Anolis sagrei: one gene and its partners. The protein of the gene in region 4 interacts with the protein of the main gene of each other region in a biochemical or structural test. Links are inferred from orthologs where the notes say so. Each region holds a gene or a part of one and is shown on either strand. Other genes may lie near its edges.

Region 1 (8,335 bases), on a different chromosome or scaffold from region 4:
TGGCCTGCACTTAAAAACAATCGGCGCTGACAAAATCACCATCTGTCAGCTGCAAAAGGCCACTCTACTCGGATCTGCATGCATTATTCACCGATACATCACACAGTCCTAGACACTTGGGAAGTGTCCGACATGTGATCCACGAGTGATCTTGTTTGCTGTGTACAATAATAATAATAATAATAATAATAATAATAATAATAATACTTTATTTGTACCCTGCCACCATCTCCCTGAAGGGACTGGGGGCGGCTCACAAAAGCATTCAAGGTTCAACATGCAAAGTGGGGACCTTGGCCTGCACTTAAAAACAATCGACACTGACAATATTACCATCTGTCAGCTGCAAAAGGCCACCCTACTTGGATTTGCACACATTATTTGTGGATACATCACATAGTCCTAGACACTTGGGAAGTGTCCGACGTGTGATCCATTTCAAAAGCTAGCAGACTGATTTTGTTTGCTGTGTACTAATCTTGTTGTGTATCTAATAATAATAATAATAATAATAATAATAATGCTTTTATTTATATTCTGCCACCAAAGGGATTTGGGTCAGTTTACAAAAGCATGTAGTAGTGCAACAGAATACACAAGGTACAGTAAAATACATGAACATGTATAAAACAATAGCAATATCAATTAACATAAAATAGATATACATAAAAATCGCAAATAAAAACCCCTACTAATGTAAATAAAATCCTTGCTGAAAAACACAGCCATAGCTGTGGATTGAAATAGGTCGTATCAATTTCAGTCGCATTAAAGTGCTGGAGCCAAACAATTCGCTTGGTCCTCAAGTTTTAACTGATGTTTTGACCATGTGTGAAGGGTTGTTGTAGGTTTTTTCAGGCTATATGGTCATGTTCTAGAGGCATTTCTCCTGACGTTTCGCCTGCATCTATGCATCTATGGCAAGCATCCTCAGAGGTAGTGAGAAGGCCTGCTGGAAGAGCCATGTTTTCAAGTTTTTCCAAAAACATTGGAGTGTGGGGGCCAGCCTAAGTTCCCTGGGGAGGGCGTTCCAGAGCCGGGGGGGCCACCACCAAGAAGCCCCCCCCCTCTCTCTCTCTCTCTCGTCCCCACCAACTGTGCTTGAGACAGAGGTGGAACTGAGAGAAGGGCCTCTCCGATGGATCTTAGAGCCTGTGCCAGTTCAAAGGGGGAGATGTGGTCATGAAGACAGGAAAGACCTAAACCGAGTAGGGCTTTAGAGGACTGGAAACTTGTCGGCAGCCAGTGGAGCTGCTTTAATAAGAGCCTAGCATGCTCCCTATAACTAGCCCAGGTTAGTAGCCTGGCTGTCAACCTTTCCGAGCCATCTTCAAAGGCAGCCCCATGTAGAGTGCATTGCAGGATTTATTTATTTACAGTATTTATATTCCGCCCTTCTCGCGCCGCAGGGGACTCAGGCTGGATTACAATGCACATATACATGGCAAACATTCAACGTCATTTAGACATAAAATATATATAGACAGACACAGAGGCAATTTAACATTCCAGCTTTTGAGGGTATGCACAGGGAGTAGTTGCCGCTTCACTATCCACTTGTGACACCGAATCTTTGATGGAGTACTTCCTCATTCTTACACATGCTGCTGGAAGGTTTTATGGTGTCGTAAATTAGTTAAATTAGCCTCCTGGCATAAAGCGGTACCTAAATTTCCTACTTGACAGATGCAACTGTCTTTTGGGCTGCATGGGTCAACAGCAAGCTAGACTATTAATGGTCGGGAGCTCACTCCGACCCAGGCTGGTTTCGAACTCATGACCTCTCTGTCAGTAGCTGCGCCATTCAGTAGTCCATTCTGGATGTAACGAAGGGGTGGACCACCGTGGCCAAGTCTGGCTTTTCAAGGCCCTCCCAGCCAATGCCAACACCTGTGCTTCAAGCATCAGTGCCGAGTTCAGGAGAACCCCCAGACTGCAGAGATATGTCCTCACGGGGAATGTAAACCCGTGGAGCATAGGTAACCACTTTATTCCCCGATCGGTCTCACAACTAGACCTCTCAATGTCAACAAGTGAAAAAGTGGATCTAAGCGTCAGAAGTCCTAAGCGTCAGAAGTCTTTCTGAGGCTCAAAAGGGATTTTTTTTTCTCAAAAGGCCGCCTGGGAAGGTAAACAGTGCCTCCCAGAAAGGCACAACAAGGGAGGGACAGGTCCACATTCCTGGGCAGTTGGCGAACCAATGGAACCAAGCCAAGCCCTCTTTGCCGCCCGAATGGAACGTGGGCCTCTCGCTGAAACGTGTGCTCTCCCTGGACATCTGTTAGGAGGGATTGCATGGGATTCAAACGGGGTCAGACTAGATGGCCTTTGGGGGTCCCTTATTGTCAAGACAAAGCAAAGGAAGGGCACCGGCTTGCTTCATATCCAATGCCAATCTCTCTCTGTTTTTTGCCTCCCTTCCAAGGCCCAGCAGAGCGGAAAACACCAAAGAAGGCCAGATCAGTGAAAGAAAAAAAGATTAGAAAAGAAAGGATTGGATTATTCGAAGGGTTTAAGAGCCTTAAAAAAAGGAGAAGAAAAAGTCCTCTGTCCAAAGACCTTTGAGTTGAGGAAAGGGAAGAAAGAAAGAAAGAAAGAAAGAAAGAAAGAAAGAAAGAAAGAAAGAGAGACGAAAGAAGGAAGGAAGGAAGGAAGGAGAGAAGAACGGAAAAGAAAAGGGAAAGGAAAGGAGGCAGGGCAGGCATATGGGAATTAAGGAATAAAGAGAAGGAAGAAGGAAGAAGGAAGGAAGGAAGGAAGGAAGGAAGGAAGGAAGGAAGGAAGGAAGGAAGGAGGAATGGAATGCAAGGAAGAAGGAGGGAAGGAAGGAAGGGGAGAATATATGCAATTGGAAAGAGAGGAAGGAAGATGGAAAGAAGGAGAGAAAAAAGGTAAGAACCAGAAGACAAGGAAGAATGAGGACAGCGGCCAAAGGAACAATTGGAAAGAGAAGAAGACAAGAAGAAGAGGGAAAGAAGAAAAGGAGGGCGAGAGGGAGGGAATGTAGGAAGGAAGGGAGGGCAGGTCTCACCTGAAACCTCACGGCCATGTTCTGCTCAGAGGCCCTCCTTCAAGGAGGTCCCATCGCCCACCGCCAAGGCTTACCTGCCCAGGAAAGGCCCAGGGCTGCCCTTTGGCCCCTCCTCCTCCTGGGCCCTCCCTTGGCCTCGCCCCCTCGGGCAGGGCCTGGCACACCTGGGCCAGGTGAGGCCAGCAGGCTCCGGTTTGGCAAACAACAAACAGGAGAAAGAAGGAAGGAGGGAGGGAGCTACGCAAGCCAGGCAGAGAATGTGTTGTCAAAGGCTTTCACAGCCTGAATCACTGGCTTGCTGTGAGTGTTTTCGGGCTGTCTGGCCATGTTCCAGAAGTATTTGCTCCTGACCTTTTGCCCACATCTGTGGCAGGCATCCTCAGAGGTTGAAGGGTCTGTTGGAAACTAGGCAAGTGGGGTTTATACACCTGTGGAATAATGTTCAAGGTGGGAGAAAGAACTCTTGTCTGCCTGAGGCAAGTGTGAATGTTGAGATTGGCCACCTCGATTAGCAACCCAGTGATTCCGGCCATGAAAGCCTTCGACCGCTTTGAGTCGCCCAAGGGCTGAGAAAGTCGACCAAGGACTGAGAAAAGCGGTAAATAAATGAAGTAAATACATAAATAAATAAATTCGACAATACATTGAACATCTCTACGGGGAGAAACTCTCCTAGGATTGATGCACCAGGGAGTCTGGCTTACTAAGGTACTTTGGGAAACTACATCTCTTGCAAGATACTCCACTTAGGCAGAAAAAAACGAAATGCAAAGATACAGAATGGGGGACGATGCCTGGCTCGAGAGCAGTACGTGTGAAAAAGATCTTGGAGTCCTCGTGGACAACAAGTTAAACATGAGCCAACAATGTGATGTGGCGGCAAAAAAAGCCAATGGGATTTTGGCCTGCATCAATAGGAGCATAGTGTCTAGATCTAAGGAAGTAATGCTACCCCTCTATTCTGCTTTGGTTAGACCACACCTGGAATATTGTGTCCAATTCTGGGCACCACAATTGAAGAGAGATATTGATAAGCTGGAATGTGTCCAGAGGTGGGCGACTAAAATGATCAAGGGTCTGGAGAACAAGCCCTATGAGGAGCGGCTTAAGGAGCTGGGCATGTTTAGCCTGAAGGACGAGAGGAGACATGATAGCCATGTATAAGTATGTGAGAGGAAGTCACAGGGAGGAGGGAGCAAGCTTGTTTACTGCTTCCATGGAGATTAGGACAAGGAACAATGGCTTCAAACTACAAGAGAGGAGATTCCATCTGAACATGAGGAAGAACTTCCTGACTGTGAGAGCCGTTCAGCAGTGGAACTCTCTGCCCCGGAGTGTGGTGGAGGCTCCTTCTTTGGAAGCTTTCAAACAGAGGCTGGATGGCCATCTGTCAGGGGTGATTTGAATGCAATATTCCTGCTTCTTGGCAGGGGTTGGACTGGATGGCCCATGAGGTCTCTTCCAACTCTTTGATTCTATGATTCTATGAAGGGCCTTGTAGCTTCAAAGTCTGGCTGCTTCCTGCCTGGAGGATCCTTTGTTGGGAGGTCTTGGCTGTTATGTTATATTATGTTATATTATATTGTTGTTGTTGTTTCTCATTGTAACCCATTTCAAACACACAGGTCCCTTCTGCTGAAAACCTGGTCAAATACTTGAAAGAAGATTGTCCAGGTCCCACCAGAAGACAACAAGAAGAATGAATATATAAAGAAGAATCAAATGAATGAAAAACGATTATTATATATTATTTATTTATTTTCTATGATTATTTTATAATATACTATATTTACTTTTGTTTTGTCGTGTCAGGAGCGACTTGAGAAACTGCAAGTCGCTTCTGGTGTGAGAGAATTGGCTGTCTGCAAGGACGTTGCCCAAGAGACACCCGGATGTTTTGATGTATTGCCATCCTTGTGGGAGACTTCTCTCATGTCCCTGCAGGAGGAGCTGGAGCTGATAGAGGGAGCTCATCTGCGCTCTCTCCGGATTCGAACCTGTGACCTGTCGGTCTTCAGTCCTGCCGGCACAAGGGTTTAACCCACTGCACCACCGGGGGCTCCTTACTCATACTTACTAATACTATACTTATTATTATTATTATTATTATTATTATTATTATTATTATTATTACCCACCTTTCCTTGTGAATTTCAAAGTCACCTCCTGAATTTTCCAGCTTACATTTCCATTTACTGCTTGCCAGGAATAATTTATTTTTTTATTTTTTTATTATTGTTGTTGTTGTTGGAGGTTTCATTCATAGGGTTGCCTTAAATTCAAGTTGACTTAGTGGCAAATAATAATAATAATAATATGGTTGGAAGTTTCATTCATAAGGTTTCCCTAAGTTCAAGTTGACTTGGTGGCAATTAAATAAGAATAAGAATAATAATAGTAATAATAATAATAATACCATACATTTAATAATAATAATTTAGTAATGGTTGGAGTTTTCATTCATAGGGTTTCCCTAAGTTCAAGTTGACTTAGCAGCAATAATAATAACAATAATAATGTAATAAAAATAATGAATAATGATTGGAGATTTCATTCATAGGGTTTGCCTATGTTCAGGTTGACTTTGGTGGCAATTAAATAATAATAATAATAATAATAATAATACCATAAATTAAATAATAATAATAATAATAATAATAATAATACCATAAATTTAATAATAATAATAATAATAATAATAATAATTTAATAATGATTGGAGATTTCATTCATAGGGTTTCCCTAAGTTCAAGTTGACTTAACAGCAATAATAATAATAATAATAATAATAATAATAATAATGTAATAATAATGATGAATAATGGTTGGAGGTTTCATCTGTAGGGTTGCCCTAAGTTAAAGTTATTGGCAATAATAATAAGAAGAAGAAGAAGAAGAAAAAAAATGATGATGATGATGATGATTATGATAAATATAATGTAATAATAGGTAAAGGTAAAGGTTTTCCCTGACATTAAGTATAGTCATGTCTGACTCTGGGGGGTCATGTGGCCAGCATGACTGCATGGAGTGCCATCACCTTCCCGCAGAAGTGGTACGTATTGATCTACTCGCATTTGCATGTTTTCGAACTTGTAGGTTGGCAGATGCTGGACTCACTCCGCTCCCCGGATTCAAACCGCCAACCTTTTGGTCAGCAAGTTCAGCAGCTCAATGGTTTAACCCACTGTGCCACCAGGGGGCTTAAATAAATAATGGTTGGAGGTTTCATGCATAGGGTTGCCCTAAGTTCAAGTTGACTTAGTGGCAAATAATAATAATAATAATAATAATAATAATAATAATATCATATCTGCTGTACATGGATGACCTGAAGCTGTATGGGAAAACTGAAACTGAAATCCAGTCTCTGACTAACACCGTCCGAATCTTTAGCACGGATATCAACATGGAGTTTGGTTTGGACAAATGTTCGGCAGTGGCACTGAAGAAGGGAAAAATCATTGAAAGTGAGGACATAAATATGCCCAATGGCCAAGCGATCAAGTGTCACCAGCCAGAGGCCTATAAATATCTCGGCATACTACAGCTGGACAACATCAAACATGAACATGTGAAAACTGTGGTCAGCCAAGAATACATTCAAAGGGTCAGAAAAATTCTCAAAAGCAAGCTCAATGGAGGCAACACCATCAAGGCCATAAACACTTGGGCCATACCTGTCATAAGATATACTGCTGGCATCGTAAACTGGACGCAGGCAGAACTGGACAATTTGGACAGAAAAACTAGAAAACTCATGACCATTCATAATTCATTACATCCTCGCAGTGATGTTGACCGGCTTTAGCTGCCTAGAAAGTCTGGTAGAAGAGGGCTTTTACAAGTCAAACAAGCAGTCGAAGAAGAAAAATACACCCTGGCAGAATATGTCAAGGAAAGCCAAGAACCTGCTTTAATTGAAGTCAATAATCGGAAACTTCTCAAAGCACAGCAGACAAAGAGTCAGTACAAGAAAACTGCACTCCAAACTAGAGCTGACAGCTGGCACAACAAAGCCTTACATGGGCAGTTCCTTGAGAAGATTGAAGGAAAAGTTGACAAGGAGAAGACCTGGTTATGGATCATGAATGGGACCCCGAAGAAGGAGACAGAAGGCCTGATTCTTGCAGCCCAGGAGCAAGCCATCAGAACCAATGCAATTAAGGCCAGGATTGAAAAATCAGCAGATGACCCAAAATGCAGACTGTGCAAGGAAGCTGATGAAACCTTGGATCATATCCTCAGCTGTTGCAAGAAAATGGCACAGACGGACTACAAACAAAGACATGACTCTGTGGCCCAGATGATTCACTGAAACTTATGTCACAAGTACCACCTGCCAGCAGCAAAGAATTGGTGGGATCATAAACCCACAAAGGTCGTGGAAAATGAACATGCAAAAATACTGTGGGACTTTCAAATCCAGACTGACAAAGTTTTGGAACACAATACACCAGACATCACGATTGTGGAAAAGAAAAAAGTCTGGATTATTGATGTCGCCATATCGGGTGACAGTCACATTGAGGAAAAACAACAGGAAAAACTCAGACCTCAAAATCGAACTGCAAAGGCTCTGGCATAAACCAGCACTGGTGGTCCCAGTGGTCATGGGCACACTGGGTGCCGTGCCAAAAGATCTCAGCCAGCATTTGGAAACAATAAATACTGACAAAATTACGATCTGTCAACTGCAAAAGGCCACGTTACTTGGATCTGTGCGCATCATTCGAAAATACATCACACAAGTCCTAGACGCTTGGGAAGTGTTCGACTTGTGATTTTGTGATAGGAAATCCAGCATATAGATCTCGTTTGCTGTGACATACTGTGCTTTTGTGTCAATAATAATAATAATAATAAACAGTTGGAAGTTTCATTCCTAGGGTTGCCCTAAGTTCAATTTTACTAAGTAGCAATAATAAATAAATAATGGTTGGCGGTTTCATTCATAGAGTTGCCCTATGTTCAAATTGACTTAGTGGCAATAATAATAATAATGTGGAAACAATAAACATCGAAAAAATCACGATCTGTCAACTGCAGAAGGCCACCTTACTTGGATCTGGCACATCATTTGAAAATACGTCACACAGTCCTAGACGCTTGGGAAGTGTTCGGCTTGTGATTTTGTGATACGAAATGCAGCATATATATCTCCTTTGCTGTGACATACTGTGGTTTTGTGTCAGTAAAATAATAATAATAATAATAATAATAATAATAATAATAATCAATGTCTTATCCTCCTTTCTTTGTAATTTCGAAGCCACCCAAAGACTTCGAAATTCTTCTGTTTTT
Region 2 (7,684 bases), on a different chromosome or scaffold from region 4:
TGGACCAAACTCTACACGAATACTCAATATGCCCAAATGTGAACACTGGTGGAGTTTGGGGAAAATAGAATCTTGACATTTGGGAGTTGTAGTTGCTGGGATTTATAGTTCACCTACAATCAGAGCATTCTGAACCCCACCAACAATAGAATTGGGTCAAACCTCCCACACAGAACCCCCATGTGGGCCACAGCAACGCATGGCAGGGGACAGCTAGTGGACAATATTTGTAATTGTTTTGCACACAAAGCAAAGTTTCTGTATCACTGGAAAGCAAAGGGACCACTCCCTCAGCCTTGTTCTCCAAAATCTTGATCATTTTAGTCCAGAGGAGGGTGACTAAAATGATCAAGATTCTGGAGAACAAGCCCTATGAGGAGCGGCTTAAAGAGCTGGGCATGTTTAGCCAGGAAGAAGAGAAGGCTGAAAGGAGATATGATAGCCATGTATAAATATGTGAGAGGAAATCACAGGGAGGAGGGAGCAAGCTTGTTTTCTGCTTCCTTAGAGACTAGGACACAATGGAACAATGGCTTCAAACTATAAGAGAGGAGATTCCATCTGAACATGAGGAAGAACTTCCTGACTGTGAGAGCTGTTCAGCAGTGGAACTCTCTGCCCCGGAGTGTGGTGGAGGCTCCTTCTTTGGAAGCTTTTAAACAGAGGCTGGATGGCCATCTGTCTGGGGTGATTTGAATGCAATATTCCTGCTTCTTGGCAGAATGGGGTTGGACTGGATGGCCCATGAGGTCTCTTCCAACTCTTTGATTCTATGATCTCATGAGGGACGAAGACACAAATACAAGAATTCCAAAAATTTTAATACCAAACAACTCTGGTTCTAAACATTTCGGATAAGGAATACTCAAACTGTCTTTTTTAAACATACATGGATGCTGTGTTTACCTTTGGATCCCATGTCCAAGATTCCTCAATATGTGAGCATACCCAGAAACAGGTATTCCAGATCCTAAACATTTTGGTTCTAACCCTTTTGGATAAGGAATACTCCACCCATATAAGGAGGAGGGGGGAATCTAAAACCCCAAACACAAGTGATCCCAACCATTTTGGATAAGGAATATTCTGCCTTTCCATGACTTTTGTATGTTTCATAGATAGTTTAAACCTGAATCTAATCTCAAAGATACAGATAGGCAAATACAGGTATTGGAAAATATGAAATATCCCAAAACTCTTCTGTTCACCAGGATTTCAGATAAGGAATACTCCACCCATAATAAGGTGTCCATTAAATATACATGAATTTTGTGTTTAGACAAATACATATTTCAAAAAAACCCAAATTCCAAGATACCAAGATGACTGATCCCAACTGTTTTTGACGAAGAACACTCATATGTCTATGAAACATATCAAGTTTCGACTTGGGTTCAAACTCCAAGATATCTCATGAGGTTCGTAGCCAACATCTGAATTCCATTGTTGATGAAACATCACTGAATTTCATGTTTAGGTTTGAATCCCATCTCCATATATCTCATTGTTTACATATGTCCAAAACAAAGCATTCCAAAACACTTCTAGTCCCAAGCATTTGGAAAAGGGAGAGTTGACCTGTACGAGTGTGTAGTGTCTATGACACCTAAATGAATTTTGTGTTTAGATTGGTGTCCCATCTCCAAGACATCTCATGATGTCCGTAATTGCAGATACAAGTATCTGAAAATATGAAAACCCCTGGAATCTCAACCATAGGAGTCAATGACACAGAAGCATTTGGGATAAGGAATTATTGACCTGTGGAAGGTGTCTATGAAACTGACACAAATGTTACATTTAGACTTGGAGCCCACACCCAAGTTCTCTCGTGATGTACATATATATTTGAATATGGGGTAAACACCAACTCCCAAACACTTCTGGTCCTGACCAGACTTGACCCATACATACTGTCCTATGGTCTTGACCCATATATAGTGTCCTATGCAATGTCACTCAATGTTGTGTTAGATTTGGTTCTCATCTCGATGACATCTTATGATATAGGTCTACTCAAGACATGGGCAACCTTGGGCCTTCAAGGTGTTTTGGACTTCAACTCACACAAATCCTAACACCCTACTAACTACCAAGTTGAAGTCCAAAACACTGGAGGGTCGAAGTTTGCCCATGTCTGGGATAGACCTATAGCATGAGATGTCATTGAGATGGCACCCAAATCTAACACAGCATTCAGTGACATTTCATAGGACACTATATATGGGTCAAGATCATCGGACACTATGTATGGGTCAAGTCCGGTTAGGACCAGAAGATGTGCTTTGGATTTGGATTTATTGGTATTTTAAGATCGGGATAGACCCGGCATGGGCAAACTTCGACCCTCCAGATGTTTTGGACTTCAACTCACACAATTCCTAACAGCATACCAACTACCAAGTTGAAGTCCAAAACACCTGGAGGGTCGAAGTTTGCCCATGTCTGGGATAGACCTATAGCATGAGGTGTCATTGAGATGGCACCCAAATCTAAGACAGCATTCAATGACATTTCATAGGACACTATATATGGGTCAAGTCCGGTTAGGACCAGAAGATGTGCTTTGGATTTGGATATATTGATATTTTAAGATCAGGATAGACCCACCATGGGCAAACTTCAACCCTCCAGGTGTTTTGGACTTCAACTCACACAATTCCTAACACCCTACCAACTACCAAGTTGAAGTCCAAAACACCTGGAGGGTCAAAGTTTGCCCATGCTAGGTCTATCCCGATCTTAAAATACCAATAAATCCAAATCCAAAGCACATCTGCTCCTGTGCATTTCAGATGAGAGAGACCCAACCTGCCATCATCACCATCTTGACCCTGTTTTGGGGCCCTACCTGGCAGCTTGAGGAGGGAGTCGAAGACCTTGCACTGCATCTGCCCGGTGCTCTGCATCACACAGTTCATCCAGAGCCCCTCGTAGATGGCTTGGGCCGTGATGAGGTTGTCTCCGGCGTAGGAGTTGATCTTCCACTGAGGCATGGCAGTGCTGACGATGGTGCCGATCCAGCCGATGAAGGCCAGGAGGAAGCCCAGCATCTGCAGACCACCACTGGCCATTGCGTCTCCACTGGAACAGCAACAATGAGGCAAAGGAGCACCTGAAAAGGATGGATGGATGGAGGAAGGAAGGGCGCTTGGTCCTTGGAGAGATGAAGCCAAGGAGGGATCCTTCTCTGCTCTTCTCTGCTCTCCTTTTTGTAATCCGAGGGATTTCAGAGCAGGTTGATGCTGCTGGACTTGGAGCCGACTTGGAGAACTGGCTTTCGGGGCAGCTCGGCAGCTCTATTTAAACCAGCGCCTCTCCAGCTCCGCCTGGTGGTTTCGTTCGACTTTGCCGTCCATCCAGTGCTTTGCTTTCCCAAATGAAAAATTGCAACCACAAAACAAAAAAAGTTACAATGCTTTGACGGTTCTTTTGCAACCCATACTTCAAGGTTTAGTTCTGGGGAAAGGTGGGGAAAGATACTTGCTTCGACTGGTGGAAAAGGTGTGGGGTTAAGGCAATATCAGTCACCCCAAGTTGCGTTCCTTCCTGGGCCAAAGTGCACCCCCGATGTGTTCTCTCGCTTCATGACACATCTCCCTTGCAGGATCCACCCTGTTCTTTGGAAGCGTCGGGACACTTCCAGAACAGGAAAGGAGAGGCGTCAAAGGGATTTCCAGATACTTTCTTGCTAGACGTCGTGTGTGATTACATAGAACCCCTCGACTTGAAAGGGAACCCAGAGGTCATCCGGTCCAACCTCGTACTACTGTGTGGGAAGAAATAATTCAAGCACAACTCTTTGTTAACAAAACTTCCATAGAAGGAGGTTCTACCATACTTCAAAGTGACACATCCTACTGTCAGAAAGCTGTTACCATCAGGAATGTCTTCCTAAAACATAGGTGGGATCTCTTTCCCTGCAATTTGCATCCATGGCTCCATTGTGTCCCAGCCTCTGGAGCAACAGGAAGCACGCTTTTCCCTTTCTCCTCAATGTATCATCCTTTCCAATAAATCAACTCAAGCATCATGTTCCCTCTTATCGTTCTCTCCTCCAAGCTAAACATCCCGAGCTCCCTCAGCTGCTCCTCAGAGGGATTCACACATGCAAAAGTCAATCTATTGCTCTTTCTTATTTCAGGTCTCTTCTACGCTGCCATGTTGTTGTTGTTCATTCGTTCAGTCGTCTCAGACTCTTCGTGACCTCATGGACCAGCCCACGCCAGAGCTCCCTGTCGGCCGTCACCACCCCCAGCTCCTTCAAGGTCAGTCCAGTCACTTCAAGGATGCCATCCATCCATCTTGCCTTGGTCGGCCCCTCTTCCTTTTGCCTTCCACTTTCCCCAGCATCATTCCCTTCTCTAGGCTTTGCTGTCTCCTCATGATGTGGCCAAAGGACTTCCACTTTGTCTCTAGTATCCTTCCCTCCAGTGAGAAGTCAGGCATTATTTCCTGGAGGATGGACTGGTTGGATCTTCTTGCAGTCCAAGGCACGCTCAGAACTTTCCTCCAACACCACAGCTCAAAAGCATCTCTCTTCCTTGGCTCAGCCTTCCCTAAGGTCCAGCTCTCACATCCGTAGGTGACTACAGGGAAGACCATGGCTTTGACTAGGCAATGGATCTTGGTTGCCAGTCTGATGTCTCTGCTCTTTACTATTATATCGAGACTGGACATTGCTCTCCTCCCGAGTAGGAAGCGTCTTCTGATTTCCTGGCCACAGTAATCTGCATCTGCAGTCATCTTTGCACCTAGAAATACAAAGTCTGTCACGGCCTCCACATTTTATCCCTCTATTCACAGTACTCTCAGTCATTACACTGAGATTTCATGGGAGTTATAGTTTTACACAGTCTCTGAGGTTTCTCCACCAAATAGTGTTGTTGCCTCACCAAACTATAACACTCAGGACTCAATAGCATTGGAAAATGGCAGTTAACATGGGTCAAACTGAATTCATTCTGCACCCTAAGACAGAGTAATAGATTCCGACTCCTGGAAAAGAAACTCTACCAAAACATTGAGAAAACTTTCCTGAGTGAAAGAGGGGTTTGAAAGGGGAACGGCCTTCCTCAACATGTGGTGGACCCTCGCTCTTTGGAGGTCTTTAAGCAGAGAATGGAAAACCTGCTTTTAGGGGTGCATCTATACTGTCGAATTAATGCAGTTTGACCCCATTTTAACTGTCATGGCTCACTGCTATAGAATCCTGGGAGTTGTAGTTTGGTGAGGCAACAAAACCCTATACGGTTCCGACCCAGTGTATCTGTCTAAACGGATCTCCCTCTACATCCCACCTCGAAGTCTAAGATCTTCTGGGGAGGCCCTGCTCTCGACCCCGCCTCTATCACAAGTGAGATTGGCAGGGACGAGGAGCAGGGCTTTCTCGGTGGTGGCCCCTCACCTGTGGAATTCACTCCCCGGGGAAATCAGAACAGGGACATCCCTCCTTTCCTTCAGGAAAAAACTGAAAACATGGATTTGGGACCAGGCATTCGGACAATCGGGCAGATAAAGGAGGATTTCGACAATGGACAGGAATTGAGAAAGTGGAATGGAATTATGGAACTCTGAAAGACGAACGCTGAGCTTGAGATTAGTTTTTTATTGATTGTGTTTTATTTTTATTGATTGTGTTATATACTGACCAATTTAACTGTGATAATTGTTTGATTGCTGTATGTATTCTATGTAGGCATCGAATTGTGCCTTTTTGTAAGCCGCCCTGAGTCCCCCCTCGGGGGTTGAGAAGGGCGGGGTAAAAGTACCTGAAATAAATAATAATAAAAATAAATAATAATAATAACACTATTTGGTGGAGAAGCCTTTTTTTTGCCAGGCGAAAAGGCACAACACTCATTGGCAGAGAAGGCTAAAGACCTTATAAAACTATAGCTCTTATGATGCCAAGGCCATGAGCATGGTAGTTAAAGTAGTGTCAACATGCATTAATTCCACATGTAGATGCACACTAGGAGGAATATTGTGTCCAATTCTGGGCACCACAATTCAAGAGAGATATTGACAAGCTGGAATGTGTCCAGAGGAGGGAGACTAAAATGATCAAGGGTCTGGAGAACAAGCCCTATGAGGAGCGGCTTAGGGAACTGGGCATGTTTAGCCTGAAGAAGAGAAGGCTGAGAGGAGATATGATAGCCATGTATAAATATGTGAGAGGAAGCCACAGGGAGGAGGAGGGAGCAAGCTTGTTTTCTGCTTCCTTGGAGACTAGGACAAGGAACAATGGCTTCAAACTACAAGAGAGGAGATTCCATCTGAACATTAGGAAGAACTTCCTGACTGTGAGAGCCGTTCAGCAGTGGAACTCTCTGCCCCGGAGTGTGGTGGAGGCTCCTTCTTTGGAAGCTTTTAAGCAGAGGCTGGATGGCCATTTGTCAGGGGTGATTTGAATGCAATATTCCTGCTTCTTGGCAGAATGGGGTTGGACTGGATGGCCCAGGAGGTCTCTTCCAACTCTTTGATTCTATGATTCTATGATTCTAGGGGATGTAGTTGTGCATTTTAGCCTGGCAGAAAAGGTTTGGGCTGGATGGCCTTCGGGGGTCCCTTTCAACTCCAAGATTGTGTGATTCTATAACCTGGAGATTTGGGGAAAAAATGCAGAAGACGAATGCCAGGACCATCCCTGTTTGAGGCCAGAGGAGGGGAGAGTCAACACACGAGAGACGTTCTATTTATGGAGCCACTTTTGTTTGTTGTTTCGGATAGAAGGGAGCGATGATGTTTCCCTGCTTCTGGATCCCTTTGTGGTGGAGCCAGGCCTGGTGGGTAATCCTCATCCCTTGAGCCGGCGTGTTTTGCAAACCCCTCCGAGAGGCCAGCCAAAATCCCTCAAGTCATCAAGATGAAGCAACGTCCGGACCAAAACAACCTCCTCCTCCCTTTTGAGTTGTTTTCGCTCTTTGTGGCTGGATGGTCTTGGAGCTGAAGAACAATTATGGAAAGTGCTGTCTGAGAATTGCTTGGCGGAGGATTATACCGAGAGATAAAAACACCGCAAGGGTCTGGTGTGTTGGTGAAGAACAAACAAGGTGTTTTTCACTAGGTTCTTGTGGGTTTTTTCGGGCTATAGGGCCATGTTCTAGAGGCATTTCTCCTGACGTTTCGCCTGCATCTATGGCAAGCATCTTCAGAGGTAGTGAGGTCTGTTGGAATTAGGACAATGGGTTTATATATCTCTGGAATGGCTGGGATGGGGCAAGAAGCTGGAGCTAGATGTGAATGTTTCAACTGATCACCTTCATTAGCATTTGAAGGCCTGGCTGAGCCTGGGAAAATCCCCTGTTGAGAGGTGTTAAAATGTGCCTGGTTGTTTTTTCCCTCATCCGCAAAGGGTTTCTGCATTTTAGGAAATAGGTGCATCTACAGCCAGTGCTTCCCCAACTTTGGTCTTCCAGGTTCGAGAATCCCTAGTGTTGTCCAAAGCTCCTGAAGGACGAGAGTCTGGGAATTATGGGCATAGATCATCTAGTTATTCAGATTTTTGCACTTCAACTCCCAGAATCCACAGCTGTCTTATCCAATTATCAGGCATTCTGGGAGCTGAAGTCCAAAACACCTGGAAGATCTGAGTTTGGGAAATACTGATCTGCATTGTAAAATATATTACAGTTTAGAACCCTTTTAACTTTCATGGCTCAATGGTATGGAGAAGTGCTGG
Region 3 (8,580 bases), on a different chromosome or scaffold from region 4:
GAGGAATGTCAGTTCTTAGCGGGGGAAATCCTCTCTGCTTTCAAAATAATGGAAGTTTTTCAGCTGACTTGGCTCATTGTCCTTAGAAGTACGGCCAGTGGCACAGTAGTGAACAGATTAATGCTGACATTACCGCTGCATGTTCTAATGTCAAGAGCACCTCCAACAGTGACACATGGGAAGGGATAGAAAGCTTTTCAGTGTATGTTACATAAAGTGATACCTGCAGCAAGATCAGACGTAGATCCATCATTATGGAAGCACGGAGCTCGAGAGTGAACCCACTGCAAGGATAACTAATGGCTGTTTCAGGCTAACTGGTCAGATTAAAGTGTGACAAATAGGGCAAAACCAAGAAACTTGCTCTTATAAATTTAAAAATGTTATCTTGTAAATTGGGACCATGGAATTGTGAAGTGATTAACCGTCAATGTGTGTGTGTGTGTATATGCCAAATATATCCAAGATTTTGCAATTGTCTATCTTCAGGATTCATCATCATCATCATTTGATGCACAACATGATTAGAAAACAGCAAACAAGATCACTATGTTGGCTTTTGCATTGGATCACACATTGGACACTTCCCAAGTGTCTAGGACTGTGTGATGTATCAGTGAATAATGTTGGAGCATGCAAGAAATCAATTAGTGTGTGTCAACTGTAAAATGAGATGCATGAAGCTGATTGGTTGAGCTTCGTGCAGGGAGATGGCTGGGCCTGGGACTTTTGGTTACTGTTACATTTTTGTTCAGATTTGAGCTATGCAGGTGCTCAGAGAGAAGCACAGAAAAGAGAAGCAGAGAGAGACAGCGTTTGGAGTGTGAACTGCTGAAAGAGTTTATCCACATGGACAAAGAAAGACCATTTTAAATCTCTCATAAAAGGACATTATGTGAGTTGATGTAACTGATCACATTGTACATATTGTTGTGAACTACGAAGAGTAAACTACTTGTTCTTTATTGTTCATCTGCATGGCATATTTTCTTTCTCTGGCAAGACAGTGTGTGGGCTGATCAAATGTGAACTACACGTAGTTTATTTTTATATTACATCACAAATAATGTGTACAGATCCGAGTGGGGTGGCCTTTTGCAGTTGACAGATGGTAATTTTATTTATTTTATTTACAGCATTTATATACTTCTTTTCTCACCCCTAGGGGGACTCAAAGCGGTTTTGTCAGCACCAATTGTTTTTAAGTGCAGACTAAGGTCTTTAGGCACTGCACCCAGTGTGCTCATCACCGAGACCACCAGTTATTTTTATTATTAGTTATACCCCACTTTTTCTCTCCACAGAGGAGACTCAAAGCAGCTCAATTCTATGCATGCTTATTTAGCAGCAAACCTTATTAAACACAGTGGAGTTATTTCTGAGTTAGCATTATAGGAGAGTGTAACTGTAATATAGTGACTTAGATGTTGACCGTTTAGCTATAGAAACCCACTGGCTGACCTTGGGCAAGTCACACTCTCTCAGCCTCAGGGAAAGGTAGAGGCAACCTCTTCTGAACAAGTCTAGCCAAGAAAACCCCATGAAAGGTTAAAGGTAAAGGTTTCCCCTTGACATTAAGTCTAGCCGGATCCAACTCTGGGGAGTGGTGCTCATCTCTATTTCTAAGCCAAAGAGCCGGCATTGTCCGTAGACGTCTCTAGGTCATGTGGCCAGCAGGACTGCATGGAGCACCATTACCTTCGTGCCGGAGTGGTACCTATTTATCTACTCACGTTTGCTTGTTTTAGAACTGTTAGGTTGGGAGCAGCTGGAGCTAACGATAGGAGCTCATTCCGCTCCCCGGATTTGAACTGCTGACCTTTCGGTCGGCAAGTTCAGCAGCTCAGCAGTTTAACCCACTTCACCACTGAAGGTTCCTTTAGGTCCACTTTAGGGCCCTCTTAAACTAGAAACAATCTGAAAGCACACAACAACCACCACCACCATAGGCATCTGTATTAGAGTTGTTCTCAGTATAATAAAACTACTGGAGCAAAAATATGAAACGGGAATTTGAGAAAACTTTTAGATTTTTACTATGACTTTTGCCAGTTTTCTGAAGTTCTCCAATACTTTTGAGGCTACTTGAACTAGGTTTGCTCTAACAATGAGTGATTTCATGAATAAAAAAAAATACAATGAACCTTTACAAACAATGAAATGTACTTCTTCCAAAATGATTAAGTGGTTCTGAGCAAAACATTTAAAAGGCAAACGGTATTTGTCAAACTTTGTTAGCTTGAAAACAAGGGGAAATAGGCTGCAACTTTGGGCCTTGTTTAATGAGCAGGAGTGGGGCGAGTCAAGAAGAGGTGGGAGGTGAAAATGGGGGAGTAGTGGAAACAGATGGCATGAGAGGAGGGAACTTCTACAAATGTTCAGTTTAGATCTTGGGTGAAGAAATGGAAAATAGGGAGAAGGAATGTGCAGAGGGAGATTTCTAATAAATTCAGATCTCTGAAGCCTGTTGCAGAGGATGAGACACACACTTGAATGTTATGTATGTTCAAGGCATTTCTGCTTCTCATTTGGTATCAGCCATGGATTGAGGTTCCGGGTTTTAGCCTGCCACTTTTGGACTCTTGCTTGCTGAGGTGTTCCTGTGAGTATCTCTGTAGATCTTAGAAAACTATTTCTTGTTTTAAGGCATTGGCGTGCCGGCAGATATCTGAACAGCGGGTGGGCCAGATACGTCATTGCCTTGGTCCTTTTATTATTGGCTGCTACTTCCTGGTGGATGTCAGGTGATGCAATACCGGTCAAACAGTATAATTTCTCTATGGGGTGTAGACATCCTGTGATAATGTTCCACACGAAAACAGCCACATCCACTGTTTTAGTGTGGTGAGATGTGTTCCACGCTGGGCGTGCATATTCAGCAGCAGAGTAGCAAAGCCCAAGGGCCGATGTCTTCACTGTATCTGGCTGTGATCGGCAGGTTGTGCCAATCAGCTTTCGTAGGATATTGTTTCTGGCACCCACGTTTTGCTTGATATCCAAGCAGTGCTTCTTGGAGTTATCTGATTGTAGTGTTTATGTTTGTTTATAGTTTATTTTATGTTCCAGTATTGAATATTGGCCCTATATATGTTGTGCTCTGCCCTGAGTGAGAAGGGCAGAATATAAATGCTTTAAATCAGGGGTCCTCAAACTAAGGCCCGGGGTCAGATACGGCCCTCCAAGGTAATTTACTCGGCCCTCGCTCGGGGTCACCCTAAGTCTGAAATGACTTGATAGCACACAACAACAACAATCCTATCTCATCAGCTAAAAGCAGGCCCACACTTCCCATTTAAGTTTATATTTGTTAAAATTGTTCTTCATTTTAATTATGTATTATTTTTAAGTGTCTTTTTAGCACTACAAATAAGATATGTGCAGTGTGCTTAGGAATTCATTCATTCCCCCTCCCCCCCCCCCATTATAATCTGGTCCTCCAACAGTTTGAGGGAGTGACCTGGCCCTCTGCTTAAAAAGTTTGAGGACCCCTGCTTTAAATCAATCATTTTGACATTGACATTAGGCGATCCCTCGATGTCTGATTAAGATTGTCCTCCAAGTTCGGTGTCCTGGCAGTGGGTACGTAGGTGACTTTGGAGCCCTATTCTTGATGCGCATGTTATCTCGCAGTGAGGGCATTGGTTTTCAGGTGAAAGGCAGTCCCAGTTGGGGTTGGCTTGGCACGCCTTCCTCTTGGCACATTTCTCTCTTTCGCCTTCCATTCGTGCCCCTTCAAATTCTACAGCACTGCTGGTCACAGCTGACCTCCAGCTAGAGCACTCAAGGGCCAGGGCTTCCCAGTTCTCAGTGTCTATGCCAGTTTTTAAGGTTGGCTTTGACCCATCTCTTTTCCTGTCCTCCACCCTGAGTGAGCCCTCGGTGATGCAGTGGGTTGATCCCCTGTGCCAGCAGGACTGAAGACTCTCTGGTCACAGGTTCAAATCCAGGGAGAGTGTGGATGAGCTCCCTCTATCAGCTCCAGCTCCCCATGCGGGGACATGAGAGAAGCCTCCCACAAGGATGGTAAAACATCAGAAACATCCAAGCGCACCCCGCGCAACATCCTTGCAGACTGCCAATTCTCTCACACCAGAAGCAACTTGCAGTTTCTCAAGTCGCTCCTGACATGACAAAAACAAACAAACAAACAAACAAACAACACCTGAGTGAGAAGGGCAGGATGTAAATGCTTTAAAACAGGGGTCCTCAAACAAAGACCTGGGGGCTGGATACGGCCCTCCAAGGTTATTTACCCAGCCCTTGCTTAGTGTCAACCTAAGTTTGAAATGACTTGAAATCATTAGATTGGTTTTTAGGGACTGTGATGTATAATGGATTGTTTTAATTGCTGTTTATATATGTTTTATTTTTACCTTGCTGTTGTACTGCCATTGAATTGTGCCTTTTGTAAGCCGCCCTGAGTCCCCCCTCGGGGGTTGAAAAGGGTGGGGTAGAAGTGCGAGAAATAAATAAATAAATAAATAAAGCACATGACGACGACAACAACAACAATCCTATCTCATCAGCCAAAAGCAGGCCCACACTTCCCATTGAAATACTAATAAGTTTATATTTGTTAAAATTGTTCTTCATTTTAATTATGGTATTGTTTTTAAGTGTCTTTTGCACTACAAATAAGATATGTGCAGTGTGCATAGGAATTCATTCATTTATTTATTTTTTACAAATTATAACCTGGCCCTCCAACAGTTTGAGGGACTGTGACCTGGCCCTCTGTTTAAAAAGTTTGAGGACCCCTGCTTTAAATCAATCAATCAATCACCCCCTTGGGTTGCTGTAGTTTTTTTGTGCTGCCTGGCCATGTCCTAGAAGCATTCTCTCCTGACGTTTTGCCTGCATCTAGGGCAGGCATCCTCAGAGGTTGTGAGGTCTGTTGCAAACTAGGAAAATTTATCTATCTGTGGAAATCCCCCCCCCCTCTTGAACTCCAGGTTTGAAGGGAGAAAGAGGAGGAGGGATGGCATGGCCAAGGCTTGTTCTCCCTTCCTCCTCCTCCTCCTGCTTGGCCCTGCAATCCTGCTGAGCCCCCTTTCCTGCTAATTGGTCCCAGATGGTTTGCCTGTTTCCCCCCCCCCCCCTTCTCCCCTGAGCAACAGGAACTTTGGCCGCTGAAGGGAGGGAGAGAGGGAGGAAAGGAGGAGTGAAAAGCCCATAACAAGCGGAAGGGGGTTGCCAGGGTGAGCTGGTGGTGAGCTTGGCTGAAGTTGAGGAGGAGGCTCAGCCCAGACACGGGCGGAGGAGGGGAAAGAGGCGAGACATCCCTCTGCCACACAACCTGGGAGGAAGAGGGAGGGAAGGAAGAGAGAGAAAGGCAGGCAGGCAGGAAGGAAAGAAGGCGGAGACTGGCTCCCAATGAGCTCATCCTCCCCTTCGCCTGCCTTCCTCGCCTGCTCTCAGCGCGCAACGAGGGCGCAAGAGCCAAGGGCGACCCAGTCTCCTGCTTCCTCTTCTCCTTCCTCGCCCAGGCAGGCAGGTAAGTGGCCCACGAGTCGCCTCCCTTCTTCTCCCCCTTCTCCTCCCTTTCCCCAGTCCTTGCTCAAAAGGAAACCAACTGGGAGCCGAAGTTTCTTCCCGGCGAGGGCTTGTCCCTTCTTTCTGCGCGCCCTTCCTTCTCTGGGTTGTTGTAGTTTTTTTTCCGGACTATGGTCTAGAAGCATTCTCTCCTGACGCTTCGCCTACATCTGTGGCAGCCATCCTCAGAGGTCATGGAATCATAGAGTTGGAAGAGACCTCATGGGCCATCCAGTCCAACCCTATTCTGCCAAGCAGGAAAATTGCATTCAAAGCACCCCCGACGGATGGCCATCCAGCCTCCAAAGAAGGCGTCTCCACCACATTCCGCGGCAGAGAGTTCCCCTGCTGAACGGCTCTCCCAGTCAGGAAGTTCTTCCTCATGTTCAGGTGGAATCTCCTTTCTTGTAGTTTGAAGCCATTGTTCTGCATCCTAGTCTCCAGGGAAGCAGAAAACAAGCCTTCTCCCTATAACTTTTCCTCACATATTGATACATGGCTATCATGCCTTCTCTCAGCCCTCTCTTCTTCAGGCTAAACATGCCCAGCTCTTTAAGCTGCTTCTCAAAGGGCTTGTTCTCCATATCCCCTGATCATTTTAGTCGCCCTCCTCTGGACACATTCCAGCTTGTCTCCAGGGCAGGCATGTAGCGGGGGGGGGGGGGGGGCTTGGGGGGCTTCAGCCCCCCCCCCCGAAATTCTCATGGTGGTCCGCGAGAAGGCCTTGCTGTTACATTATTTAAACTGTTATGTTTATTCATATCATGATATGTATGTATGGGGGTATTGGGGTAATGATACAAAAGGTTTGCTAGGGTAGACCCTCTTTCACTCAGACTGCGCCCCCCCCTCCCGAAACAAAATCCTGGCTACGGGCCTGCTCCAGGGCACCAGAAAACAAGCTTGCTCCCTCCTCCCTGTGACTTCCCATCACATATTTATACATGTCTCCTTTCAGCCTTCTCTTCTGCAGGCTAAACATGCCCAACTCTTTAAGCCGCTCCTCATAGGGCTTGTTCTCCAGACCCTTGATCCTTTGAGTTGCCCTCCTCTGGACACATTCCAGCTTGTCAATATCTCTCTTCAATTGTAGTGCCCAGAATTGGACACAGTATTCCAGGGCACACGAAAGTGGTTTGGACACCCTAACTCAAAGCCACAGAGTCACCAGAGTTTGGAGAAGGCTGAGGACCTGACAGGACTACAACTTCCGTGGATCCAGGGCTTTGAGGCATGGCAGTACAAGCGGTGTCAGAATTGCATTCACTCTACATTTCTGCCTGGCTGAAAAGTGGCTTCTGGGGCAAGTGGAGAAGCTGGGACCCAATAACGTTTTGGGAGAAAGGATGTATTAGGAGAATTGTACACACTGTGCATTGACCTGCCCGCGTTCTGAGATCCTGGGAGTTGTTTTGCAAGCCTGCTCTGCCTCCCCAAACCACAGCTCCATGCCATGGAGTCATGGCACTCAAAAGTTGATGCCAAAGCTACACAGAAAAGCCATTGAAATCCACAAGCATGTGGACAATTTCAACAGAAAGGAAGACACCATGAAAATGAACAAAACCTGGCTACCAGCATTAAAAGAATCTAAAATTATAACAGTAAATAAAGAACAACTCTCAAACAAACGGTAACTCTCCACAAGCAACAACTAGACACAGCTAACCACCTCTCAACAAAGGATTCCCCCAGGCAGGAACAAGCGACACCTAAAAACCGCCAGGCCATCAAATGCTAATTAAGGTGGCCAACTGAAACATTCACACCTCGCTCCAACAGACAAGAGTTCTTTCTCCCACTCTGGACTTTCCACAGATATATAAACCCAATTTTCCTAGTTTCCAACAAACCTCACAACCTCTGAGGATGCCTGCTACAGATGCAGGTGAAATGTTAGGAGAGAATGCTTCTAGAACATGGCCATACAGCCTGAAAAACCTACAACAATCCAAAGCTACATTCCTTCTGCAATGTAGATGCGCTTCAAGTCCAGGAGTGCACAGGGTTTGTATGGCACTCAAAGTGAAACTACTGGAGGGGCATCTCTAGAAAGTATACTGCCCTGGCTCCATACTATGGAATCTTGGGAGCTGCAGTTTGGTGAGGCACCAGCACTATTTGGCACCTTGCAAAACTATAACTCCCAAGATTCCATAGCATTTATTTATTTATCGTGACAGAAGCGAACCGAGGGTACAGTTGTAATGTATTTTAAAACATAAACAAAGTTAAGAAACTGGGCATTAGGCTAAATGTTGTTGTCAGTTTTCTGGGCTGTATGGCCATGTTCCAGAAACATTCTCTCCTGACATTTCGCCTGCATCTGTGGCAGGAATCCTCAGAGGTTGTGTGGTTTGAGACATTGAACCCTCAGAAAGGGTTGACTAGTAGCTGGCCACTTGGAGTGTCTCTGGTGTTGCTATAAGAAGGTCCTCCATTGTGCATGTGGCAGGGCTCAGGCTGAATTATAATATGTGGTCTGTGGTTTGCTCTCCTCCACACTTGCATGTTGTGGACTCCACTTTGTGCCCCATTTCTTAAGGTGGTGCCAGAGAGCAGTCTGTTTAGCGCCTTCCAAGTCGCCCAGTCTTCTCTGTGCCCGGGGGGGGGGGGGGGGGAAGAGTCTCTCATTTGGTATCAGCCATGGCTTGAGGTTCCGAATTTTAGCCTGCCACTTTTGGACTCTTGCTTGCTGAGATGTTCCTGTGAGTATCTCTGTAGAAAACTATTTCTTAATTTAAGCATAGCGTTGAACCATGGCAGTTAAAGTTGTGTTAAACTGCATCAATTCTGCACTGCAGATGCACCCTTGGTTTAAGCGACTGGGAACCAGATGTGGCTGAGGTCGTATGCTAAACGCCAGGCTTTTGTACAAAAGGACTAGCAGAAGGAGCAGAGAGCTGTTTCAGAGAACAGTTAAAGCAACGTCAAACTGCATTATTTCTACTCTGTAGATGCACCCTGGGACCATTGTTGCAAGGCCTTGGGGTTAAGGGTATTGGTGCCGAGGTAGCCAAGGGTTGTAAGTGGTGGCCAAAGCCCTGG
Region 4 (7,764 bases):
TCCTTCCTTCTCACTTATGGTAACCCTAAAACAAGTCTATCACAGGGGGGTCTTCTACACAGCCCTATATCTCAGAATATCAAGGCAGAAAATCCCACATTATCTGAGTGTGGACTCAGATAACCCAGTTCAATGCAAATATCGCCGGATTTTCTGCCTTGATATTCTGAGATATAGGGCTATGTGGAAGGGACCAGGATTTCTTGCCAAAATTAGTTCAAAAAAAAGGCTGAGGCAAAGAGAGCACGACTTTCTGAAGGGCAGGCAGGGGGCTTCTATGGTTGAGCAGAGACTCAGACCCTGGTCTGTTATATCATGCTGGCCCTCAACAAAGTGGGGGCTTGGGGGGGGGGCTTGAGGGGCTTCAGCACCCCCCCCCCGAAATTCTCATGGTAGCCCGCGAGAAGGCCTTACTGGTACATTATTTAAATTGTTATGTTTATTCATACCATGATCTGATCACCATGCTCAATATATCCCATATGCATGGGGCTATTGGGGTAACGATACAAAAAGTTTGCTAGAGTAGACCCTCTTTCACTCAGACTCACCCCTCCCCCCCCCCCCCGTCCGAATCAAACTCAGCCCCCACCGAATCAAAATCTTGGCTACGGGCCTGACATGAACAATATAGAATGTCTCATTCACAGATCTATATTGCAGAGTCCTCTCTTAAATGCATGTTTGTGGCTGATTCTACCAATATTGAAGAACCTGAAATGCTAATCATGTAGCAGTAGAGTTTGATAGGTATTGCATGTTATCTGAAATCCCTGAAAACACCCGGCACTTCCTCTGCCTCCCTCTACCTAGGGTCCTTCTGCACAGCCATATAACCCAAGGCCCTTCAACACAGCCCTATATCCCAGAATATCAAGGCAGGAAATCCCACATTATCTGAGTGTGGACTCAGATAACCCAGTTCAACACAGATATTGTGGGATTTTCTGCCTTGATATTCTGGGATATAGGGCTATGAGGAAGGACCTCCAGACTATCAAGGCAGAAAATCCCACAATATCTGCTTTGAACTGGGTTATCTGAGTCCACACTGCTATATATTCCAATTCAATGCAGAAAATTTGGGATTTTATTCAGCTGTGGGGAAGGGGCCCAGAGCACTGTGGGTCTTGACCCAAGTAGGGTCCCCTTAGATCAATGCTGGGGTCACAAAACATTTGGCTACAGTGAAAGGTTTCTGAAGGCTACCCATTAACCCAAATCTGTCAACAACAAAGGCGCAATGTTACAGTGGAGTCTTCAGCTGTATTCCACAAAAAGAAACTCTGCCTGGCAAATGTTGGTTTAATATATTGTCAAAGGCTTCCATGGCTGGAATCACTGGGTTGTTGTAGGTTTTTCAGGCTGTATGGCCATGTTCTACTTTATTTATTTATTTATTTATTTATTTACAACATTTATATGCCGCCCTTCTCACCCCAAAGGGGACTCAGAGCAGCTTACAATATATTATATTTTTAGCATCAGTATTATATATTACTATATTGTACTATACCATGATATTGTAATATTACATGCAATATAAAATATATAATTATAATGTATTATTAGTAGTAGAATTCATAGTATTATATTGTATTACATTATATACGGCTCTCCATACAGTCATGTCGGCCACATGACCTTGCAGGTGTCTACGGATAACGCCGGCTCTTCGGCTTAGAAATGGAGATGAGCACCACACCCGAGTCAGAATCAACTGGACTTAATGTCAGGGGAAAACCTTTACCTTTACTACAATATATTATATTATTGGAAGCATTCTCTCCTGACGTTTCGCCTGCATCTTTGGCAATGGTTCTCACCCTTCCTAATGCCGCGACCCCTTAAAACAGTTCTTCATGTTGTGGTGACCCCCAATCATAACATTATTTTAGTTGCTACTTCATAATTGTAATTCAGCTACTGTTATGAATTGTAAAGTAAATATCTGATATGTAGGATGTACTGTATTGTCATTCATGGACCAAATTTACCACAAAACTCGATATGCCCAAATTTGAATACTGGTGGGGTTGGACAGGGGCTTATTTTGTCATTTGGGAGTTGTAGTTGCTGGGATTTATAGTTCATGTACAATCAAAGAATATTCTGAACTCCACCAATGATGGAATTGAACCAAACCAGGGACACAGAACTCCCATGACCAACAGAAAATACTGGAAGGGTTTGGTGGACTCTGACCTTGAGTTTGGGAGTTGTAGTTCACTTACATCCACAGAGCACTAGTGGATTCCAACAATGATGGATCTGGACCAAACTTGGCATGAATCCTCAATATGCCCCAATGTAAACACTGGTGGAGTCTGGGGGAAATAGATCTTGACATTTGTGAGTTGTAGTTGCTGGGATTTATAGCTCACCTACCATCAAATCGCATTCTAAACCCCACCAATGATAGAATTGGGCCAAACTTCCCACAAAGAATCCCCATGACCAAGAGAAAAAATACTGTGTTTTCTGACTGTCTTCGGTGACCCCTCTGATATCCCCTCGCGACCCCTCCCCCAGGGGTCCCAACCCCAAGTTTGAGAAACACTGATTTACTGACAATAAATGCTGGTTTATTGTCAGTAAATCATGTTTTTATTATGTGTTTTTAATGTTTTATGCTTCATGTTTAAATGCCCTGCTATCTTATGGTAAATTTGTCCTATTTTATGAATAGTCATATGCTTTTTGGTTTATGTATGCAAGGCATTGAGTGTTGCTATTGTTTTTTGTAAACCCCCCCCCCCCCCAGGGGTGAGAAAAGAGGTAAATAAATACTGTAGATAAATAAATGTTTGATTTTTATACCTATAGACCAGGGGAATACATCCAAATGTATCAGGCAGCAAAGGGTCAGGAGTGGGCCAAGTTCTAAGCAGCAGCTCTGGTCTAAAGTTCCCAGGCGGCGGCTTCACAAACAAGCTGCTCCCTTTGGCCAGATTTGCAAAACCAGCCCTGGCTGAAGCCGTCCAGTTGGTGGCTGGAAAGTTGCAGTCCAAACGAGGATTGCGGTCTGGGTAGTTTTGCTACGCGTGGGAGGATCTCGGGGCTAAAAAAAGCAAAGCCGCAAACTCCGAAGGCCAGCGAGCTTGGACGCCCCTGCCAAGAGTTTGGCAAAGCAAAAGTGGGGCGGCATTCCACGCAACGTAAACGCGCCAGGAAGCAGAGGGAGGGCGTCGTGTCAGTGCCCAAGATCAGCTGGAGAAGGCTGCCTGCCCAGGGTGCCCCTTTTGCCCCCTCCATGGCCCCACTCGAGGGCTCAAGACCCCTTTTTCCTTACCTGATCCCCGGGAAGGGGAGGGAGAGAGCAAGCGAGGGTCTCTTCCTCGTTTGCCTTTGCCTCCTCCCAGGTCTTGGCTGGCTCTCACCTGGGCGGAAGCCGGAGTCTGGAGTTGAGCCGCACCTCACCTGCCACACAGGAAGCCGACGCAAAGGGGAGTCGCTCCGGAGCGAAAGGAAGCCGAGCCCAGGACTCGGGGAAGGGAGCTTTGGGAGGAGAGGCGCTCCCGTGGAAGCCAAGGACTCCTGCGAGGAAAACACTTCCTTGTCGAACAAGGAGAAGCTTAGAAAGACTTGCCAGGCAGCAGCAGGCAGAGGCAGGCAGGACTCTGATTTGTGTGTGTGTGCCTTCAAGTCGGGTGCCCACTTAGAGCCACTCCATTTCTCAGGCTGGGTCTACACGCCCTATGTCCCAGGATCTGATCTCAGAGTATCTGCTTAGAACTGGATTATATAATAATCTGGGATCAGATCTTGGGATATAAGCAGTGTAGATCCAGCCTCAGAGGTGACTTGACCAGTTCTTTCCTCTGAAATACAAGCTACAATGTTCGTTGGTCTCCCATCCAAGGGCTAACCAGGGCTTACCTTCCAAGAGAAGAGGAGATCCAGTGCCCTTGTGGGGGCAAATGGCAACCAGACCAAAATTGAAAGAGAAAATAGAGTGAAAAGGAAGGAAGGGTGAATCCAAAGAGAGAAACCAGAGTCTACATGTGGACAAGTCTACAGGGATCACCAAATGCATTCAGGAATCAAGGAACATGAAAAGCTCTGCGGTCTGGAGAACAAGCCCTATGAGGAGCGGCTTAAGGAGCTGGGCATGATTAGCCTGAAGAAGAGAAGGCTGAGAGGAGATATGATAGCCATCCATGTATAAATATGTGAGAGGAAGCCACAGGGAGGAGGGAGCAAGCTCGTTTTCTTCTGCCATGGAGACTAGGACGCAGAACAATGGCTTCAAACTACAAGAAAGAAGATTCCATCTGAACATGAGGAAGAACTTCCTGACTGTGAGAGCTGTTCAGCAGTGGAACTCTCTGCCCCGGAGTGTGGTGGAGGCTCCTTCTTTGGAAGCTTTTAAACAGAGGCTGGATGGCCATCTGTCAGGGGTGATTTGAATGAAATATTCCTGTTTCTTGGTAGGGGGTTGGACTGGATGGCCCATGAGGTCTCTTCCAACTCTTTGATTCTATTATTCTATTACTACTTCAACCAGAGAAGTCAGCCATAGTAGAGCACCTGATGAACCAACCTGGACACAGCATATTATTTGAGAACATAGAAATGCTGGACCACTCTAACAACCACCATGTCAGGCTACACAGAGAAGCCACTGAAATCCATAAGCATGTGGATAATTTCAACAGAAAGAAGAAACCATGAAAATGAACAAAATCTGCCTGCCAGTATTTAAAAACTCTAAAATTACAACAGCAAAACAACAGAGAGGAAACAATCAGGGACAGCTAATCACCGCTCAACAAAAGATTCCCTCAGGCACTAACAAGCCACACCAAAAAACTGCCAGGCCATCAAATGCTAATCAGGGTGGTCAGTTGAACATTCACACCTAGCTCCAACAGACAAGAGTCCTTTGTCCCACCCTGGTTATTCCACAGATATATAAACCCAATTTTCCTAGTTCCAACAGACCTCACTACCTCTAAGGATGCTTGCCATATATGCAGGCGAAACGTCAGGAGAGAATGCCTCTAGAGCATGGCCATATAACCCGAAAAAACCTACAACAACACAGAGTCGCCTTTTTCCCCAAGAACTGGTCAAGTCACCTCTGAGGCTGGATCTACACTTCTTATATCCCAGGATCTGATCCCAGATTATCATATAATCTAATCCAAAGGAGATACTCTGGAATCAAAACCTGGGCTATAGGGCAGTGTAGATCCAGCCTGAGAAATGAAGTCACTCTAAATGGGCAGCCGACTTGAAGGCACAGTCACAAATCAGAGTCCTCAGGAAGAGAAGCTGGTTGGTTTAGTCGCTTTGTTTGTGAAATCAGCAATGGGCTAAACGAAACTTGAAGATGTTCACAAATTATGAGTCAGTGTGAAATCGTTGGGCATCTATTTTTAAAATTATTTATTATCTATTTGTTTTATTTCAGCCCTGCCTTTCTCCCAACCTAGCATGCAAAGCAGTTATAGCACTATTCCTATGAAGAAGGAAAGGGAAGGGGGGGGGGGGATAAAAGGAATGTGGCAGCATTCCACACAGCTATATAAAATCCACATTGAACTGGATTATATGGCAGTGTAGACTCAGATAATAAAGTTCAAAGCAGATATTGTGGATTAACTGCCTTGAATTCTGGGTTATATGGCTGTATGGAAGGGCCCCGGGGCCCCATCTATACAGCTGTATAAAATCCACACTATCTGCTTTGAACTGAACTATATGGCAGTGTAGACTAAGGGCCCTTCCACACAGCCATATAACCCAGAATATCAAGGCAGAAAATCTCACAATATCTGCTTTGAACTGAGGGCCCTTCCACACAGCCCTATATTCCAGAATATCAAGGCAGGAAACCCCACACTATCTGAGTGTGGACTCAGATAAGCCAGTTCAAAGCAGTAATTGTGAATTTTTTGCCTGGATATTCTGGGATATCTGAGTCCACACTGTGGGATTTTATTCAACTGTGTGGAAGGGGCCTAAAATAATCCAGTTAAAATCAGATAATGTAGATTTTCTGCTTTGATAACTTTGATTATCTGGCACTGTAGAAGGGGCCTGAGGCTGGATCTACACTGCCCTATATCCCAGGATCTGGTCCCAGATTATCTGCTTTGAACTGGATTATATGAGTCTACACTTACAGATAGTCTGGGATAAGAAGATAATCTGGAATCAGATCCTGGAATATAGGGCAGTGTAGATCCAGCCTCCGTCCCCTTGTACACTGCCATGTGATCCAAATTATCAAAGTAGATAATCCACATCATCTGCTTTAAACTGGACTAAATGAGTCTACACTGCCATATAATGAAGTTCAAAGCAAATAATCTGTATTTTATATGGCAGTGTAGAAGAGACCTGGCTGGGTTTTTAATTTTAGGATGAGCTTATGTAAATGTGGCATGGAGGGGGGAGGGTGTGAAGAAACCATCACTAGATCCCACTAAATGTGACAACTTTCGGCCGGTTTCCCATCTCCCCTTTTTGGGCAAAGTCCTGGAAAGCGTGGTGGCCTCACAACTCCAGGTATTCTTGAGAGACACGGATTATCTGGACTCGGCACAGTCTGGTTTCAGACCGGGACATGGAACTGAGACAGTCTTGGTCGCCTTAGTGGATGATCTGCGCCAGGAGCTCGACAGGGGGAGTGTGTCCCTGTTGGTGCTTCTGGACCTCTCAGCGGCCTTCGATACCGTCGACCACGGTATCCTTCTGGGGCGCCTTGCGGAAATGGGTCTCGGAGGCACTGTTCTGCAGTGGCTCCGGTCATTTCTGGAGGGTCGTTCCCAGAAGGTGTTATTGGGGGACACCTGTTCATCCCCACAACCATTGTCTTGTGGGGTTCCTCAGGGTTCTATTTTGTCTCCCATGCTGTTTAACATCTACATGAAGCCGCTGGGTGAGATCATCCGGAGTTTCGGGGTACGGTGTCACCTGTACGCAGATGATGTCTAACTCTGTCACTCCTTTCCACCTGCTACTAAGGAGGCTGTCGAGGTCCTGAACCGGTGCCTGGCTGCTGTGACGGTCTGGATGAGGGCGAACAAATTGAAGTTGAATCCAGACAAGACAGAGGTACTCCTGGTCAGTCGCAAGGCCGAACAGGGTATAGGGTTACAGCCTGTGTTGGATGGGGTCGCACTCCCTCTGAAGACACAGGTTCGCAGCTTGGGTGTGACCCTGGATTCGTCGCTGAGCCTGGAGCCCCAGGTCTCAGCGGTGACCAGGGGAGCATTTGCACAGCTCAGGCTCGTGCGCCAGCTGCGCCCGTACCTTGGGAAGTCTGACTTGGCCACGGTAGTCCACGCTCTTGTCACATCCCGCCTAGACTACTGCAATGCTCTCTACGTGGGGCTGCCCCTGAAGATGGCCTGGAAGCTGCAATTAGTCCAACGCGCGGCAGCCATAATTCTAACAGGAGTGGAGCGCAGGGAGCACACAACCACCCTGTTGCACCAGCTCCACTGGCTGCCGATTTGCTACCGGACCCAATTCAAGGTGTTGGTACTGGCCTATAAAGCCCTAAACAGTTCCGGCCCAAGATACCTATCTGACCGCATCTCGGCCTATGAACCCACCCGGACTTTGAGATCTTGTGGGGAGGCCCTGCTCTCGATCCCGCCAGCCTCTCAAGCACGGTTGGCGGGGACGAGAGATAGGGCCTTCTTGGTGGTGGCTCCTCGGCTGTGGAACGCCCCTCCTGTAGACGTTAGGCTGGCACCATCTCTCATGACATTCCGTAGAAAGTTGAAGACCTGGATGTTTGTGCAGGCG

What was found.
Region 1: the proteins of PATJ (region 4) and TJP3 form a complex in vitro, tested with the Homo sapiens proteins (2 studies listed by BioGRID and IntAct, with this or other methods). The link is inferred for Anolis sagrei from reciprocal best matches to the Homo sapiens genes PATJ and TJP3.
Region 2: the proteins of PATJ (region 4) and CLDN1 form a complex in vitro, tested with the Homo sapiens proteins (2 studies listed by BioGRID and IntAct, with this or other methods). The link is inferred for Anolis sagrei from reciprocal best matches to the Homo sapiens genes PATJ and CLDN1.
Region 3: the proteins of PATJ (region 4) and TANC1 interact in a test that uses a peptide from one of them, tested with the Homo sapiens proteins (2 studies listed by IntAct, with this or other methods). The link is inferred for Anolis sagrei from reciprocal best matches to the Homo sapiens genes PATJ and TANC1.

The regions. Positions count from the first base shown.
Region 1 is NC_090034.1:53,429,414-53,437,748, forward strand, and holds the start of TJP3 (tight junction protein ZO-3), read right to left. Parts: upstream 3,144-8,335; 5' UTR 3,050-3,143; coding exon 3,032-3,049; intron 1-3,031. UniProt on the Homo sapiens protein: TJP1, TJP2, and TJP3 are closely related scaffolding proteins that link tight junction (TJ) transmembrane proteins such as claudins, junctional adhesion molecules, and occludin to the actin cytoskeleton.
Region 2 is NC_090023.1:271,015,212-271,022,895, forward strand, and holds the start of CLDN1 (claudin-1), read right to left. Parts: upstream 3,289-7,684; 5' UTR 3,075-3,288; coding exon 2,852-3,074; intron 1-2,851.
Region 3 is NC_090021.1:201,130,857-201,139,436, reverse strand, and holds the start of TANC1 (protein TANC1), read left to right. Parts: upstream 1-5,329; 5' UTR 5,330-5,373; coding exon 5,374-5,494; intron 5,495-8,580. UniProt on the Homo sapiens protein: May be a scaffold component in the postsynaptic density.
Region 4 is NC_090024.1:167,747,582-167,755,345, forward strand, and holds the start of PATJ (inaD-like protein), read right to left. Parts: upstream 3,612-7,764; 5' UTR 3,293-3,611; intron 1-3,292.